Lytechinus pictus: one gene and its partner. The protein of the gene in region 2 binds, or shares a complex with, the protein of the main gene of each other region. Links are inferred from orthologs where the notes say so. Each region holds a gene or a part of one and is shown on either strand. Other genes may lie near its edges.

Region 1 (7,244 bases), about 17 Mb from region 2:
ATCAATAACTCTGAACAAGCATAGTTAATTCAGCACCACTGGTGAGTTGACTTTAGAGCTTTTGTATGTTTTGAAAGTAACAAATCATAAAGTATGTGAAAGAAACAATACTGATTTATGATAAAGGATATTTTATTAGAGTAAATGGATGATTCTTTCTGACCTATTCATAAAGTAATTTGAGTAAGCCCCTAATAGGATTGTTTGAACTTTATCCTTATTGAACTTTTAGAAAACTCATTTATATCAGCATTTCAAGAGATTGTATATTCATAGGGAGTCGCTGGACCTTGAATCGAGTATGGAAGGATGTCATAGATGCTGAATTATTTATTAATTATTTAGTAAGATGCTTTAATGCTTTAATTATGAATAACTATTCATAGAACCTGAACCATATAGTAGAGTGTTTTTCTGGCCGTTGTTTAATTTTAGATGGCACGTAGTCTGGGGCGTGATGCATCCCCATCCAATCCTAAACTTCAACGTACATGGCGGAGAAGCATGGAGTACTGTTTAGCGAGGTTGGCGATAGAAGGACTTTGTCGTTAGATTGTTTGATTCTCCGGAGTATGACCTTTTCGTCAAAGACGGAACAAAGTGGTGAAGTATGAAATTGAGACAGTGAGCGTGAATGGATCCTTTGAACAATTATTATATGCGCATATTTTCCTTTGATTATCAGAAATGGTTCAGAATAGAATGTAATTAATAGTGGAATTGAATACCGATGTTAGATGGTTATTAGATATCAAATAAATGAGTTGGTATTGGATTAAGAGGTTTAGAAAGATCACGATCAGGTCAGTGAAGGATCTGTTTTGTGCTTGTTAGCCTTAGTGGCAGTTACGGTTGTGCAGCGTAGAAATTGTTTGAAGAAAATTGTTATTTGGAGAGAGATATAGCATAGTATGCTTTGGAAATAAAGAATCTGATTTAAAGGCATGGCTGATGTGAATATTGTTTTTATTTAATTGTTCCCATGTGACACTCGCACATATCTCACAAGCAGTTGCCTGCACAAGTGGAAGCATGTCTGATTTGCATGCAGAAAAGTTTTGAACATGCTCAAAACTTTGTCTCATTGTTCCGTGCAAGCGTTGCGGGTGATTGCCCGCAACTCACCCGCAATGCTTGCACCAAACAATGAGACAGACCTTAAGAAACAAAGGTGATGTGGACATATATTTGAAGAGGAAACATACAGATATAAGTAAATGCTCCACAGCCTCTATTTTGATAACTCTGAATAAGATTGTGAAATGTGATAAAATTTTCATTGAAATTATTGTTTATAACAAGAATTTGGTTAATAAACACCTTATTTCCACAGATGCAGATGGGTTTAGCTCTCAAGCATATGTTCCAGTTATTCATCAATTCACCTTATGAATAGTATTATCAAACAAGTGTAGATTGGGTATTGGGAGATAATTACAATGGGAGATTTCAAGTTCAGTGTTGAGCTTTTGGTGTTGGTGATGGGCTACTCTTTATATGATCAAAGCACAAACCTAAAAATAAGACTGATCTTCGAATATGCCTCACTTGGTGTTGAGTTATCAATAATGTGATTTTGACCATTTTTATTCTCTGATCAGGTTTTGGAGCTATGAAAGGCAAACAAATAGACCTTAACATCAATACCAGAACTAACAGTGAACTTGAAAACACCAAATATTCTTGGTACTTTACCTTGTTTTCTAGGTTTGAATAGGTTGACAAGATGCTGAAAGATCCTCTGAATGTATGGATTTGGATCTTTGCTCAGTGGTGTGGGTAAGCTGGGCTGGGGTATGGTCAATGCTTTTAGCCATTCACAGTATACACTCACACAATCTCGAATTGCTTCATGTTCGTTCAAGGGGAGGCTCAGCCCATAGCAAATCACCTGGTAAAATAAAAAGTATGAATCAAATGTGATTTTTTAATCATAATGCACCACCCATAGTATGTCAATTATGATTATCGCCATGATATTCTAATCATTTGCAGTTTTATTGCCATGGAAATCATCTCAATTTTGCTCATTATTTCTCTCTTACACTACTATTGCAAAAGTACAGAATTCAGAAAAAATATGTCTGTTCCAACAAGGATATTGAAATTGAATGAAAACAGGTGTTGAACTGATCAAAACAATTATCAAGCGTGTTGGTCAATTAAAGCCTTTAGGCATACATCAGCTTTGTCTTTGACTGTTGTTTTATAGATCTAGAATAGATCTCACCCGATGCGTTTATGCCAAGGACTCGAAGGAGGGCCCTGCATTGTATACATCCAGATCCTTTAATTTTAAACACCAATTTCATTTTGTCCCAATGTGTAACTTGTATTAAGCAGAATACATCATGCTTAGATTTAGAAACACCCATATCAAGTCCACTAGGCCTTAGTATAAATGTCTTGTATCACTATCATTATCATTTATTGACACACTGTATTCTATTGTCAATGTCATTGATGGCAGCTTTTTTTATCTGCAATTCTGTCATGAATGACATGAATCATGATTAATGATTGATGAATGACCATTTTGGAGATAAAAAACTAGATCTAGGCCCTAATTAAAATTAAAATTAGATCACTTTTTAATTGTTAAACGAAGATATAGCGTACAAAGGGTTAACAGTGCCAGCTTTCCTATCATGCCTATAATTACCTCCATTGTCCACTCTACTTGTTTCTCTGATTCAAGTGGATTACATGCAGCAGACCCATCCCCTCTCTGCTGGAGAGCTGCCAGCGACGCCGTACTTGCGGCCAACTGCTTCACCACCGACACGGCCACATCTCTCCCCACAGTTTCAGGAAACGTATGGAGAACACTGTGATTGCTTTGGTCCGTTTCGATCGCCTCTTGCAAAGAAGCCCATCCAGAATACATCTTCTAATGTTATTAAATACAGACTCAAGAAGCTAGAAATGTGAATAAATCAAAGTATTTCACACAATACCATAATAAACTTTTTCAAAACTGTCATTCTTTAGTCCTTGTTTTGGTTCACTCGGTGTTGTTTTGCATTTCACAATTCACGCCCTCTGCGGCGCTAGCGATTTGAGATCAATCGAAAAGAAAAATTGAGAGAAGAGCCAGGAAAAAATGAGGTTCCGGGCGAAAAGATGCGTTCTTACTCTTACTTTATGCGTTGCGGTATTTTTCATGCTCAGGACATTGATGTTTATCCCAGAGATGTCGGAGGAGGAAAAGAGAATGATAGGTGAAGAAAGGGGAAAGCGCAGAAAGGACGTAAGTATACTGCTGACCTGTCGACTTTTTGATTTCCGTAGTCCCATGTCCTGCATGTTTGTGTTGGGTAACTCCGTCGCCGACTAGGCCTAATTCGGCGGCGGCGCGCTGCTCGCGGAGGTGAGCTGGGGCTCAGCTCAGGCTCGTCTCAAGTACCGGTACCTCAACTTCCTCAAGCAGGCGCGTAGCGGGGGGGGGGGGGGGGGGGGGCGGTCGCCCCCCAAAACGCTCCCAAAAAGAAAAAAAAGGAGAAAAAGAAAAAGCGAAAGGAGTATCAAAAGGGAAGAAAGGTATAGTAGTATACCTCGGGCTCGGGCGATGTTCGTCAGTAGTGAGTAGAGGCGCACGGCCAATATGGGAGACTCTCTCCAATACTATAGGGGTATGGTGTTAGGGGATTAGTAGTAATTAAGCACACAACATCACATGACCCACCGGCGGGACGAACCGTAACACAAGACCCGCATTCAGCTTTACAACACACACATACCGGTATTCTACACACGCCACTCAACCACATCACTCCATACTCAACCCCCGAGAGGTACAGACGTCCTGAGAGCTGTGCATAACAAGAATAAGGTAAGGCTTTCTCCCGGTGTGAAGTTTATATGTGTATAGCGAGTGTATTATTATTTATGTTATCGGCCCCCCGCTTTACTGGCGACGAGGATTAAAGCGATTTTTATTTTATTTTCGGCAAAACATTTTCTTTACTTCGCCACAGCCAACGCCGTTGCAGAATCTGCGTTGGCCGTGGCCGAATATAAAAAAGCCGCCGCCATCTTGAAAATTTTAGGCTTTTTATTAATTTGAGCTGTTTGACTCTGTTTTGTCCATAATATTAAATAAAACAAAAAGTAACATATTATTTTAGTTTGAGATTTCATTTTTTGGTGGAAAAAGTTTGATTTTTAGTTCCGTAAATATACTCTATTTTTTTACCGATCGGCACTGCCGTGCTGGCCTTGAAGGAATTCAGCGGCTAGCTCGACAGGAGCTAATCGGATTTTTTTGGACAAAACATTATACGTTGTACTATTTAGGGTAAATATCCACTCATTTTGTTGACCATATATTTAGCTGTTCCCTCGTTAGGATATATTTTTGTGGCCACCGAGTGTGATTGACTTTGATGAAATTTTGATTGCGTTTGACTGTGTTTACCGTATGTGGTGTGAATGTATTGCTGAATATTATTGATGTTGTGAGTTGATTATTTTATTACAAGCCTGAATTTGCTTTTCTCCTTTGACCGCCGCGCTGCTGCTGCTGTTGTTAGTATTTTTTTGTAATTATATTTCTGGGTGTTTTTTGGAGAAAACACCAGAAATTTGCTGCTGCTGCTGTTAATTGTTAGGAATTTATTATTTTTGGTCACGCGTCTCAGGAGATAAGGAAATTCAGTCTTGTATTAATTATTTTGTTGTTGCTGCTGCTGCTGTATTGAATATTTTGCTGCTGTTGCTGTGCTGTTGTATTGTTGCTGCTGCTGCTGTATTGAATATTTTGTTGTTTATTGCTGCTGCCGTTGTGTAATTGAATTGTTGCTGCTGCTGTTGTATAATATATTTTGTTGCTGCTGCTGCCGTTGAGTGAATGCTGTGAGCTGTGCTGCTGACATTTGTATTAAATTCATATTCAATCAATTAATTATAAATTGTATAATTAAATAAATTTTGTATATATTTAGATAAATTGTACTTGTAAATATTAACTTTTGTTCAAAAAACAGAAAAAAAATAAATAAATAATAAGAATTTATTTATTTGAAATTATTTCTATATATTTTTCATATCTTTCTTTGAATTTGAACAAGTGAGCGTTCGATTGTTTGCATTTTTTCTTTTCTTTCCTAAGAATTAAATCATACAGGAATTTTATTTTTAGGCAAAGGTAGCCTCTGGATTTTAATTTAATAACATCCTCAGGATATTGTGAGGTTAGTTCTGTTAATTCTCTTTCATTTTTTTTTTCAAAAAGTTAATTTTGTCCCAGATTTATTTTGATTTTATCCGCAAGACAAAGTAGTCTGCAGGATAATTTTTGGTTGATTACAGTTCAATTTTGGAATTTAATTTTTGTTACTGATTAATTTCTACATCAAGATGGCGAGCAACATACCAAGAATCAAAATCAACTTTTGTTCGTCTGAGGAATTGATGAGTCTGCCCGGAGTGGGTATGGCCACCGCCAACCGCATTCTACACGCGAGGGAGGCGGCCGACATTACTCCGGATACATTCTTGTCAATACCTCACATACCGAAGGCGGAACTATTAGTTTACGCCTTTGACTATGAGCCAACAACAACGGCTCATAATGTGGACCGCAGAGAAGTGCGCTCCGAAGTAGACGAGCCTTCTACGAGCGTTCCACTGATACCATCAAAGGAGCCCCCCGTGAGCCAGGCGTTTGAGGCTTGGCCACAGCACACCCGTGCACATAGCACTCGGGGTGCTGTAGGCCAGTCTTCTCAGACACAGGACGGGGAGGCCCCCTTATTTTTCACAGGGGGGAGGCCAGGTGGCGCTTGTACTCAGCAGCCTTCGGCCTCTCCAGAAGATAGGGCTAAGTCCCTCTGGGCTAACCAATTTGGATTTTTAGGATGGAACGATGGCCTGTTCCCACCACAGGGTCCCCACCAAGTTACCCCACCAGGACCCCAGTTCCAATGTGGTCCTCGTGCCCAGGTAGCTACCCCACCAGGACCCCAGTTCCAATTTGGTCCTCATGCCCAAGTAGATTTGCATGGTCAGGCTCCCGGTACTCAGGGTGGCCGACCAGCAATGTTCAATCAAACAACCCAGACACCTCCACATAGCTATCCACAGGCCGTTCCACACTTTACACAAGCACAGTACGAGGAAATGTATGGCGTGATGTTTAGGATGATGCAGATGATGCCATTCGGAGGAACTGGACAGCCAGCTCCTCCATACTGCAACCCTGCTGCCGCCTACGGTGGGTATTGCCCACCATGGGCTGGAGGCAGATATCCGCCACACTATCCTAACACTGTGGCCCCGCAAACCTCTCCCCAAGGACCATGTGACTTGCAATATGGGGGTAGCAACCCTGTGTATCAAGGCGCTGGACCTCAAGGAGATGGACATGGAGGCCCAGTATACAGTGAACATAGAAATACCACAAGGCCATCAGTAAGTCCTGGATACTTGGGGCTGCCAACAAGAAATCAGCCGCCCCGCGTCACCAGACTTTCTTCGGCCTCAAGACCTGTGGTACCAGAGTATGACGACAGAAGGCCCCCTTCTAGACCAACCTCTTTGCCGAAGACCATTTCGTTCGACGGCAAAGGAAGTTGGGCGGCCTTCTATTCGAAGTTCCAACTTTACACCGAAAGACATGGCATGTCTGATGCAGACAAGAAATATCAGCTGTGTCTGGCGTTGGAGGCCGAAGCCAGTAAGTTCATGGCCCTCATCCAGGAGAGCAATCCAAATATCGCCTTCTCTGACTTGGTTACCAAGTTGGAGAAGCGGTTCGCTCTCCAGGAGGAGCCGGAAGTTACTCGGATGCAATTTCAATCGGCTTTTCAACGCTCGGATGAAGACATCATCAAGTGGGCAGATAGGCTTATGACCCTTGCAGGTCAGGCCTTCGTAGGCCTACCTGACAAGTTCGTCCAAGAACTTGTAGTGGCAAGGTTCTGCCAAGGTGCCCAAGACAAAGATGCAGGGCATCATGTCCTGACTTCTCGGCCTGGGACATTAGATGAAGCCATGACCAAGTACAAATGGTTTCAGTTTACCCAGAAGACCATGCAGAAGCATGGCCCTAGGCTGAGAAACGAAGTAAGGCAGCTCTCTGTAGGAGAAGATAAGAATGACCTCAGGGTACAAGAGTCGTCTCCTCCGGAAGCTGCCACCAAAGGAAATTCTAGCCTTGAGGCTAGAATCAGTGCTCTGGAGGCTCAGAATGCAATGTGGGCCTCCAAGATGGATTCGATGGTTGCTGCAATCACGGATCTGTC
Region 2 (8,196 bases):
GCAACATAATTCCGACACATACGAAAAATATGTCTTGCACATCTTTACCCCAACACCAATACATGTATGTGTGACAAGTTTCATGAGAATTGGTTAAAAACTGAGGAAGTATTTCGATGCGCAATATTTGCAACGGACCGCCTGACCATACACTGATTCCTACATGTACCCCTTTAAACTTTGTTTGGCGAGGGTATAATAACGTATGATACTTATTCCCATCAATTAAGAGCTGATTTTGGATCAAACTTCATCTCCGGCAAGTTATGTGCTCTCTGCTAGTATAGCACTTGTTGGCCAGAAAGCATGCAGTCGTTTAAGGAGAGCGAGGGTACGAGGCACTGTACCGTTTGTGTGTCTGTGACTGAGTTGACCAAAAACCATTCGGATCAACACTGTGTGATTCATGTCTTTTAAATATAAGCCTGAGTCACATTGATTATTTTGCAAACCAGAGTTCGACAGCTTTAATTCGATTGAACATTGAGGCATCAAGTTTTGAAGGCGGGAAAATCAAGTCAATTTTTTGCTCCGTCGATACATGCACTGCAACGATATGCGCTGAGTGGGGTAAGCGCTGCACAAGCAGGTGACAGAGCAAAGTTTGTTTGTAATTTCCATGATCACAAAAAAACGGACCAATGCAGAATTCTTCCTAAAATATCTAAAATAATGATATTTATAGATCTATGACAACATATACGGTACGTTTGAAATGAAAGACATGAATCACGAAGAGTCAATACGATTCTCAGTCAACTCTCACATACTACACAGCCCCGTACGCAGCCCTGTACACTCACTCTCCAGAAACGACAAGTATGCTTGCCGGCCAACAAGTGCTATACTAGCGGAGAGCATTAACCTTGTCTGAGATGTAGTTGGATCCAAAATGAGTTAATGGGAATAAACATTGTAAGTAATTTTCTCTGGATGGTCACTTGAATTGGTATTCTATGCTGATATAGCGATTGTAAGAAAAGTTTATGTAATACGAGTTATGTGTGTACCAAATGGAAAGGTAGTAGAGTTCACACAGTCATTTTTTTATTTTTTATATTTGCACCAATTTTGCAAAATCTGCACCGGCACTCGATGACATTGATCAAACGCCGATTTTAAAATCAATTTGACACAGGCTTATCTTTCATACTATTTTATTTCAAATGTATACCTTGTCATCTGCAAATATCATTGTTTAAGATATTTTAGGAAGAATTTTTATTCATTTATTTATTTAAAAATCTTTCCCCAGGATAGGCCAAAACGGAATAATCTTTATTTTGGTACAATTTTTTTAAAAGATTTTTATGAAATAAAGACAAAAATCAATGAGCCCTGTCGGGGGGATTTTGCATTGTTAACGCTCTAATGGTGGCTGCACGATAGCGAGCTGTCTGTGTACGAGGAGAAATTAAAAATTAAAAAAAATGTTAAAAAACTCCTTGAAACAGACGGCTGCCAGCTGTCTGTGTCAGACTTAGACAGCTGGCAGCCGTCTGTTTCGAGGAGTTTTTTAACATTTTATTTTTTTTTAAATTTCTCCTCATACACAGACGGCTCGCTAGCGTGCAGCCACCATTAGGGGACTTGCAATGCAAAATCCCCCCGTCGGGGCTCTTCAATTTTTGTCTTTAATGAGTAAAAATTTTGAAAAGTCACGCGACCAAAATGCAAATTAATATTCCCTCTTGGCATCAATTGCCAAAAAACGGAGAAAAATCAAGTTAAAAGGAACAAAAACAGTGACTTACCTCGGCTGTCGCGCAAATTCACTTCCCCGTTTTATCCGATCTTAAGTACATAAACATATGGCCATTGAGTCCCCTGTACAGATCGCGCTAGAACTTCGGTCTCTGTATTTGGTGAGTGAAGCCAACGGAGTTCAGCTGAACAACCAACATAACAGAGACCGAAGCTTTTGGTCTATGTCAGACTGTGCCAACTCCATGCAAGGCAAAAAAGCTAAAGGCCCATTCATATATGATGGTGGTCCCCAAGTCTGCGCACTAACAATTCAAGTAAAGATTTAACATGAATTTCTCTTCATTTCACAAAATCTTTCAGACAATAATGTTCCTTATATCATTATAAGTGTACAAAATATCTCATAAAGATTTGAAAGAAATATAGGATTTTCTTGGAAAAAAAACCTTGGGCACTCATTTTCAGATTGAAAAAAAATGGTACCCCATGTCTGCACACCCATTTACTTTGCACACGATTCAGGGATTTTGATGAGAAAGGCTGCATTTTGAGGCCGTCACATGGAATGCCCCCCCAAAAAAAATTTCCACCATTGAGTCAGATTTTTTAATGAATATCTGTTCATGTATTGCGTGTGTAAAGTTTGTGTTTGTTGCATATCTTCTTATACTAGAACTTAGATTAAAAGTAGAAAACTAACGTTAGATTCTTAGAATCGCGCAGATACGCGTGTGCGCAGTCGCAGACAAGGGGGACTGCGCAGACTTGGGGGAAATTGCCATAACATTAACAATGTTGTTATGACTTATGAACTTATTTATGCCGATTAATTTATGGCAAGTTATGGCAATTAACAACAATAACATCATCGATCCTTAGCCGGCTTAGCATTTTATTAGGAAAAAGTCGAAGTCTAACTCTTCTATGAAGAAACATTAAAACATTAATCACCGACATTGATAACTAAAAACAAGTTCACAAACAACATACAGAACATAGCTAGTATAGTTATAGTAGCCATAGCTGCATAGCATTCTACCCCGGTATTTCTAACGTTAGGAAATAGGAAAATGAGCTGAACCGATTCGCCTACCAATCACGACTCGCAGGTGTCTGAGCCGAGAGAGCACATCTTTCTTTAAATCCAGCACCTTCTGACCAGATTTCTTAAAGTCTCCGTGTGATTTTTTACTGAACATGTCTTATCAATTGGTAATAGCACAATAAAGAAGACGAAAACTACAGAAAATTGATCCCATTCTCATCTCAATTTCATTCGTCGTTCAAGACCACAATACAGCTCCGATCGCTAGCTATCTAAGGTCAAGGGATTTTCGTTTGCGCATGCTCAGAAATCAGTACGATTATCGTCATCTTCAAATTGGCAATCTTAATTCTCAAACTTATTCACTTATAAGACAGTCAAAATAAAATTTTGTTCCATTTTATAGGCAAATTTATATATAGTAATTAAAATAAAGTTTAATTATTTTTGTTTTAGATAAAAAATTGATGATTAAGACAAGATAATTCTTCTAAAAAACAATGACAAAAATGAATGAAAGAAAAGTTATGATCATGTGACACTGTCACCTGTTCACAAGACTGAACCTAGGAGACAGTTTATAGAATTCGGTGGCATAGACCACAGAAAATTAATACAATTAGTTGGCATAGACTTTGCTGCAAATTGCCGTGCCTTTAGTTGAATCGGAAATAGCGGGTCCCATCCCCATCTTGATATATTTCTCTAACCATCCTTTTGGTATTGCCTGAAATGTCCAGTTAATGAATTTTGATGTTCCCTTTGCCAAATCGTGTTCCAGGGGGTTCAAAATTGGCAATTTTGGCGGCCATCTCGCATTTTTTTTCATGAAAATCACCGGAAAATCATTAATTTTCATCTAGTATTGCACAGATAATAGGAAAATACGCTTTTAATTATGGTTTAGAAAGTAGAAATCGATTGCAATCTTTTTCTGGATAGTCCATTAATAATATTTGAAAAAAATGAGAATTTAGGCCCAAATTTTCATGCTTCGGTAAAAATGTGTGCATTAATAAAAGTGTTTTTATCTTAAAGATCAACAATTTATACAAAATATCAGCATTCGACACGAAAGAGGATATGTTAACGAGAATAATGATATGCTTCATGGCAGTATTAATGTCTTAATTTGCTTAGATAAAGGGCAGATACTTCCAAATGTATTACTCGATATTGCGATAAAATGACACCAAAAAGCAACCTCTGTGTCTTATGGGGCATTGCAAGAATCTTGCGATCAACTGCAAGTCTATTTTCAGTCGCTAAATGATTCATAAGTCTTGCAATTGAATGTAAATTCATGATTGATCGTTAATCTGCTCCTTGAGACAAGGAGTGTAATCTGATTTTCTGCAGGTAAACTTGATCTATCAATTGTAAAATTGCAACAGAATATTTGCAATTAATTGCAAATATTTTCTTGCAACACCCCCTTAGTCACACTAATCTGTGGCGTAACAACGAGGGGGGCACGGGGGGCACGCCCCCCCCCCCCCACTGGCTGGCAAAAAAACGGCGGAAAAGGAGAAAAAGACGGAGAAAGGAAGAGAAACATAGTGGGGAAAGAATAAATTATTGTATATTATAATATGTCATATTATATTATATTATATTATATTATATTATATTATATTATATTATATTATATTATATTATATTATATTATATTATATAATATTATATTATATTATATTATATTATATTATATTATATTATAATATATTATATTATATTATATTATATTATATTATATTATATTATATTATATTATATCATATCATATCATATCATATCATATCATCTTATCTTATCTTATATTATATTATATTATATTATATTATATTATATTATATTATATTATATTATATTATATTATATTATATTATATTATATTATATTATATTATATTATATTATATTATATTATATTATATTATATCATATTATATTATATTTGTTATATCATATCGTATTGTGCTATGTTATGTTATATTATATTATACTATTATATTATATATAATATCACATTATGTATATTATGTTATATTACATAAGAAATCTTTTTTTCATAACTTTATGAAACATAATTTTATCAGGGCCTATGTGTTCATCGTTCTTGGTGCTCGCATTCTCTGTTTAAGGAGATATATAATGGCATTGGCACTCGCATTAGATGACTATGGAGAGATATGTATACTCTTAATGGATTCCTAAAAAATAGTCCTTAAATGTCCCAGTTCGGCCTGGGGTCTATATATACAAAAATTTCAGCTCGCGCTTCGTGCTTGCATCATTTGGATAGTTAAATACGTATGATCTTCGTAAATTCCTACAAACAAGCCTTAAGATGCCCCTCTTCAGATCTGAATTTCCTAATTTTTCAGCTTGCGCTTCGCGCTCGCAATATTTGATTAGCGAGATGCGTATGTTAATCATGATTATAATGACTACAAAAAGTGCTTCATGTGTTTAAAAGATGTTATAGAACGATGTACAACGATAAAATGTCTTGGAGTCATAATTGATCAACACCTATCTTGGTCATACCAAGTTGATAATGTATGTAAAAAGGTGTATGCCAGCCTAGGTATGCTAAAAAGGGTTAGCCCTTATGTTGACCAAAATACCCTGAGGACTCTATACCTATGTTTAGTCAATCCCACCTTGATTATTGCTGTGAAATCTGGGGGTTGCGTTTCAATATGCACACAGATCGTATAATCAAAAAATGTAATTTTTTATACCCCCTCAAAATAAAGGTTTCATGAACTCAAATGGCTCCCCTTCAACGATCGCGTTACCTATTTTAAGTGCATTTTTTATGTATGTATCAATGGTCTGTCATCGAAATTCTATTGTATAATGTGTTTACTTTTGCAAGTGACTCTCATTGATTTAACACTAAATATTCAGCTAAAGATAATTTTGATCACGCAAAAAACTCATACCGAAATGTTTTAACACTTTTTATCTTACTCAGCGATTTTACTTTTTGTAACATCTTGCCATTTAATTTAAAACAGTCAAAATCTCTATCAATCTTTAAACAGAAACTTAAAGTGCATCTTTTTAAATTCAAGTTTTATTATTGCCTTTTAAATTTGAAATCAACTTTTTATGTCTATCTACTTTAGTTTATTTATATGTACTGCTTTGTGTGTAATTTTTTTAAATTAGTATCATGTTTTTAACGATGTCGTATGTTTGCTACTCTGTTTTCTGTTATGATATGAGTTAAGTTATTTAGAATATTTTTGTGTATACTTCATATGTATTTAAATGTTTTATACTTGCTTTTATCATGCATTCCAGGGCCTTACGGAAGACCAGTTTATTGCTGAGTGGGCTACCCTGGTTAAATATATTTAAATAAATAAATAAATAAATATTTCGGCTATGTAAAAAACCTCTTTTACTTTCTTGAAATCACTTGGAGACGGGAAAGTAGGCTTTTTCTATCAGCTTCAGACTAGCTGACACAGCAAAGCCTATACTCCCTCAGGGAGCTGCCGAAGTTACCCCATCCCTTTATCGTATTTTGCCCATTTCTTGGAAATTCGCCATTTTGGAGCAGTAAAGCCACTTTCGTTGTTTTGTAACCACTTGGAAACGAAAAAGTAGAATTTTCTCTATCAAAAATCGGATGTAAAATAAGAAAGTGACAGCATTTTAAAGTTTCGCTTATTTTTCACCAACAGTTATATGCACAAATCAGTGGTATGCAAATGAGAGAGTCGATGATGTCCCTCACTCACTATTTTTTTTAGAGGTTGAATTATACAATATTTCAATTTTCACAGATTTGACAACAAAGACCAACTTGACTGAACCACAAAATGGTGAAACAATGGTAGATCCACATGTTCGGGAAAGAATAAAACTTTGTTTCACATGACAATGAGGACAAATTTCAAATATTCCATATTCCATCATGTCCATGAAGTGAAATACAAGAAATAGTGAGTGATGTCATCAGTCCCCTCATTTGCATACCGACCAAGATGTGCATTAAACTGTTTTGTGAAATTAAGCAAAACTTTCAAATGTCATAACTTCCTTATTTTAGATCCGATTTCGATGAAATTGTTTGTGTAACGCTTGTTTGATTTTTCTCTTTTTATTCAATTTTACATGATGTTGGGGATGGACTCGTCCTTTAAAACCACTTAAAGGCGAAAGAGTAGGTTTTTTCAACAGTTTTTTTTATCAGCTACATAATTATAAAGAAGTGCTGGCACAGCGAACCCTACTGGAGTCACCAAGATTCATTAACTCGACACTTCAGGCAATATAAAAAGGTTGGTTAAAAAATATATATCATGATGGTGTATGGGAACCCCTATTTCGGACTACTTCATGAGCGTCGCTAAAGGCCGAAGGGGGGAGGGTGGGCAGAGGCAACCGCCCAAACTATAATATGGGGAGGCAAACATATCGATTCGCTCCCAATAATTTTGACAAATTGAAAATTTTTATAATATGCCATTCAAATATATCAGTGGCGAGGAATAAAGCGCGCCCAATTACTCTTTTTTTCCACTCCGCCTTGGCGCCGCTAAAACAAAATTTAAAAAGGAGAAGCGAATCTTCTTTATCTATTCTCATTGTCCATTACTCTCTCTCTTTTCGGGTACTAAACATTCGCTGGTTAATACTAATTTAAAAAAAATCAGCGCCACCTAAGTCTAAGTCGGCACTGGTCAAGAAAATTCGGCGCTGCCTGACAGCCTGGGACTTTATCGGCGCCGATAATTTTCAAAATAGTAAAGACAAGTAAATTGCAAACTAGCCATCCCTAAAAGCATTGGCGGCAACAACAAATTTTAGGGGGACACGTCCCCGTCCCCCCCCCCCCCCCCCCGCTTCCGCCGCCTATGCTTAAAAGTAGATAAAAGTGAAAGGCTTTAAGCGCTAGCTACACTCGCTCGCATTTTAGGTATCCTAAACAATTTCCTTTTATGTATATTTTCAAGGAAATACTGTATAGCATCTTCTTCAAAGCTGAAAGCTGATGAAAATTTGTGTGACAACCCAGTTAATCTGCCAGAAAACCTTTTTTCTTTAAGACAAATGATTTTAAAACCAACAAGAGTTACCAGTACCTCATCGAAATGTTCAGATCACATTCTCAGTTCAATGCCTGGTAAGCATTTAATCAGTGACGTTGCTCAAATCGCATTAAGTGATCACTATCTAATTTATACATGCATTGGTGTACGCAATGAAAAGAAAATAAAACATAAAATGATTCGTTATCGTGACTTTCAAAATTTTGATGCCAAATTATTTATTCAAGATTTGAAGATATGTGATACGTTCAATAATTCAAATACCAATAATTTACCATTAAATGAAATGTGGTCAAAATGGAAAATGTCTTTCCTTGAACTTTGTAACAAACATGCTCCTTTCAAAGAAAGTAGATTGAAAGATCGTCATCAG

The links.
Region 1: ral GTPase-activating protein subunit alpha-1-like (region 2) and ral GTPase-activating protein subunit beta-like share a complex: the UniProt entries of both Homo sapiens proteins name them as parts of the heterodimeric RalGAP1 complex. The link is inferred for Lytechinus pictus from reciprocal best matches to the Homo sapiens genes RALGAPA1 and RALGAPB.

What each region holds. Positions count from the first base shown.
Region 1 is NC_087251.1:38,741,927-38,749,170, forward strand, and holds the start of ral GTPase-activating protein subunit beta-like, read right to left. Parts: upstream 3,045-7,244; 5' UTR 2,888-3,044; coding exon 2,663-2,887; intron 1,892-2,662; coding exon 1,696-1,891; intron 1-1,695. UniProt on the Homo sapiens protein: Non-catalytic subunit of the heterodimeric RalGAP1 and RalGAP2 complexes which act as GTPase activators for the Ras-like small GTPases RALA and RALB.
Region 2 is NC_087251.1:21,744,463-21,752,658, forward strand, and holds the start of ral GTPase-activating protein subunit alpha-1-like, read right to left. Parts: upstream 3,056-8,196; 5' UTR 2,907-3,055; coding exon 2,801-2,906; intron 1-2,800. UniProt on the Homo sapiens protein: Catalytic subunit of the heterodimeric RalGAP1 complex which acts as a GTPase activator for the Ras-like small GTPases RALA and RALB.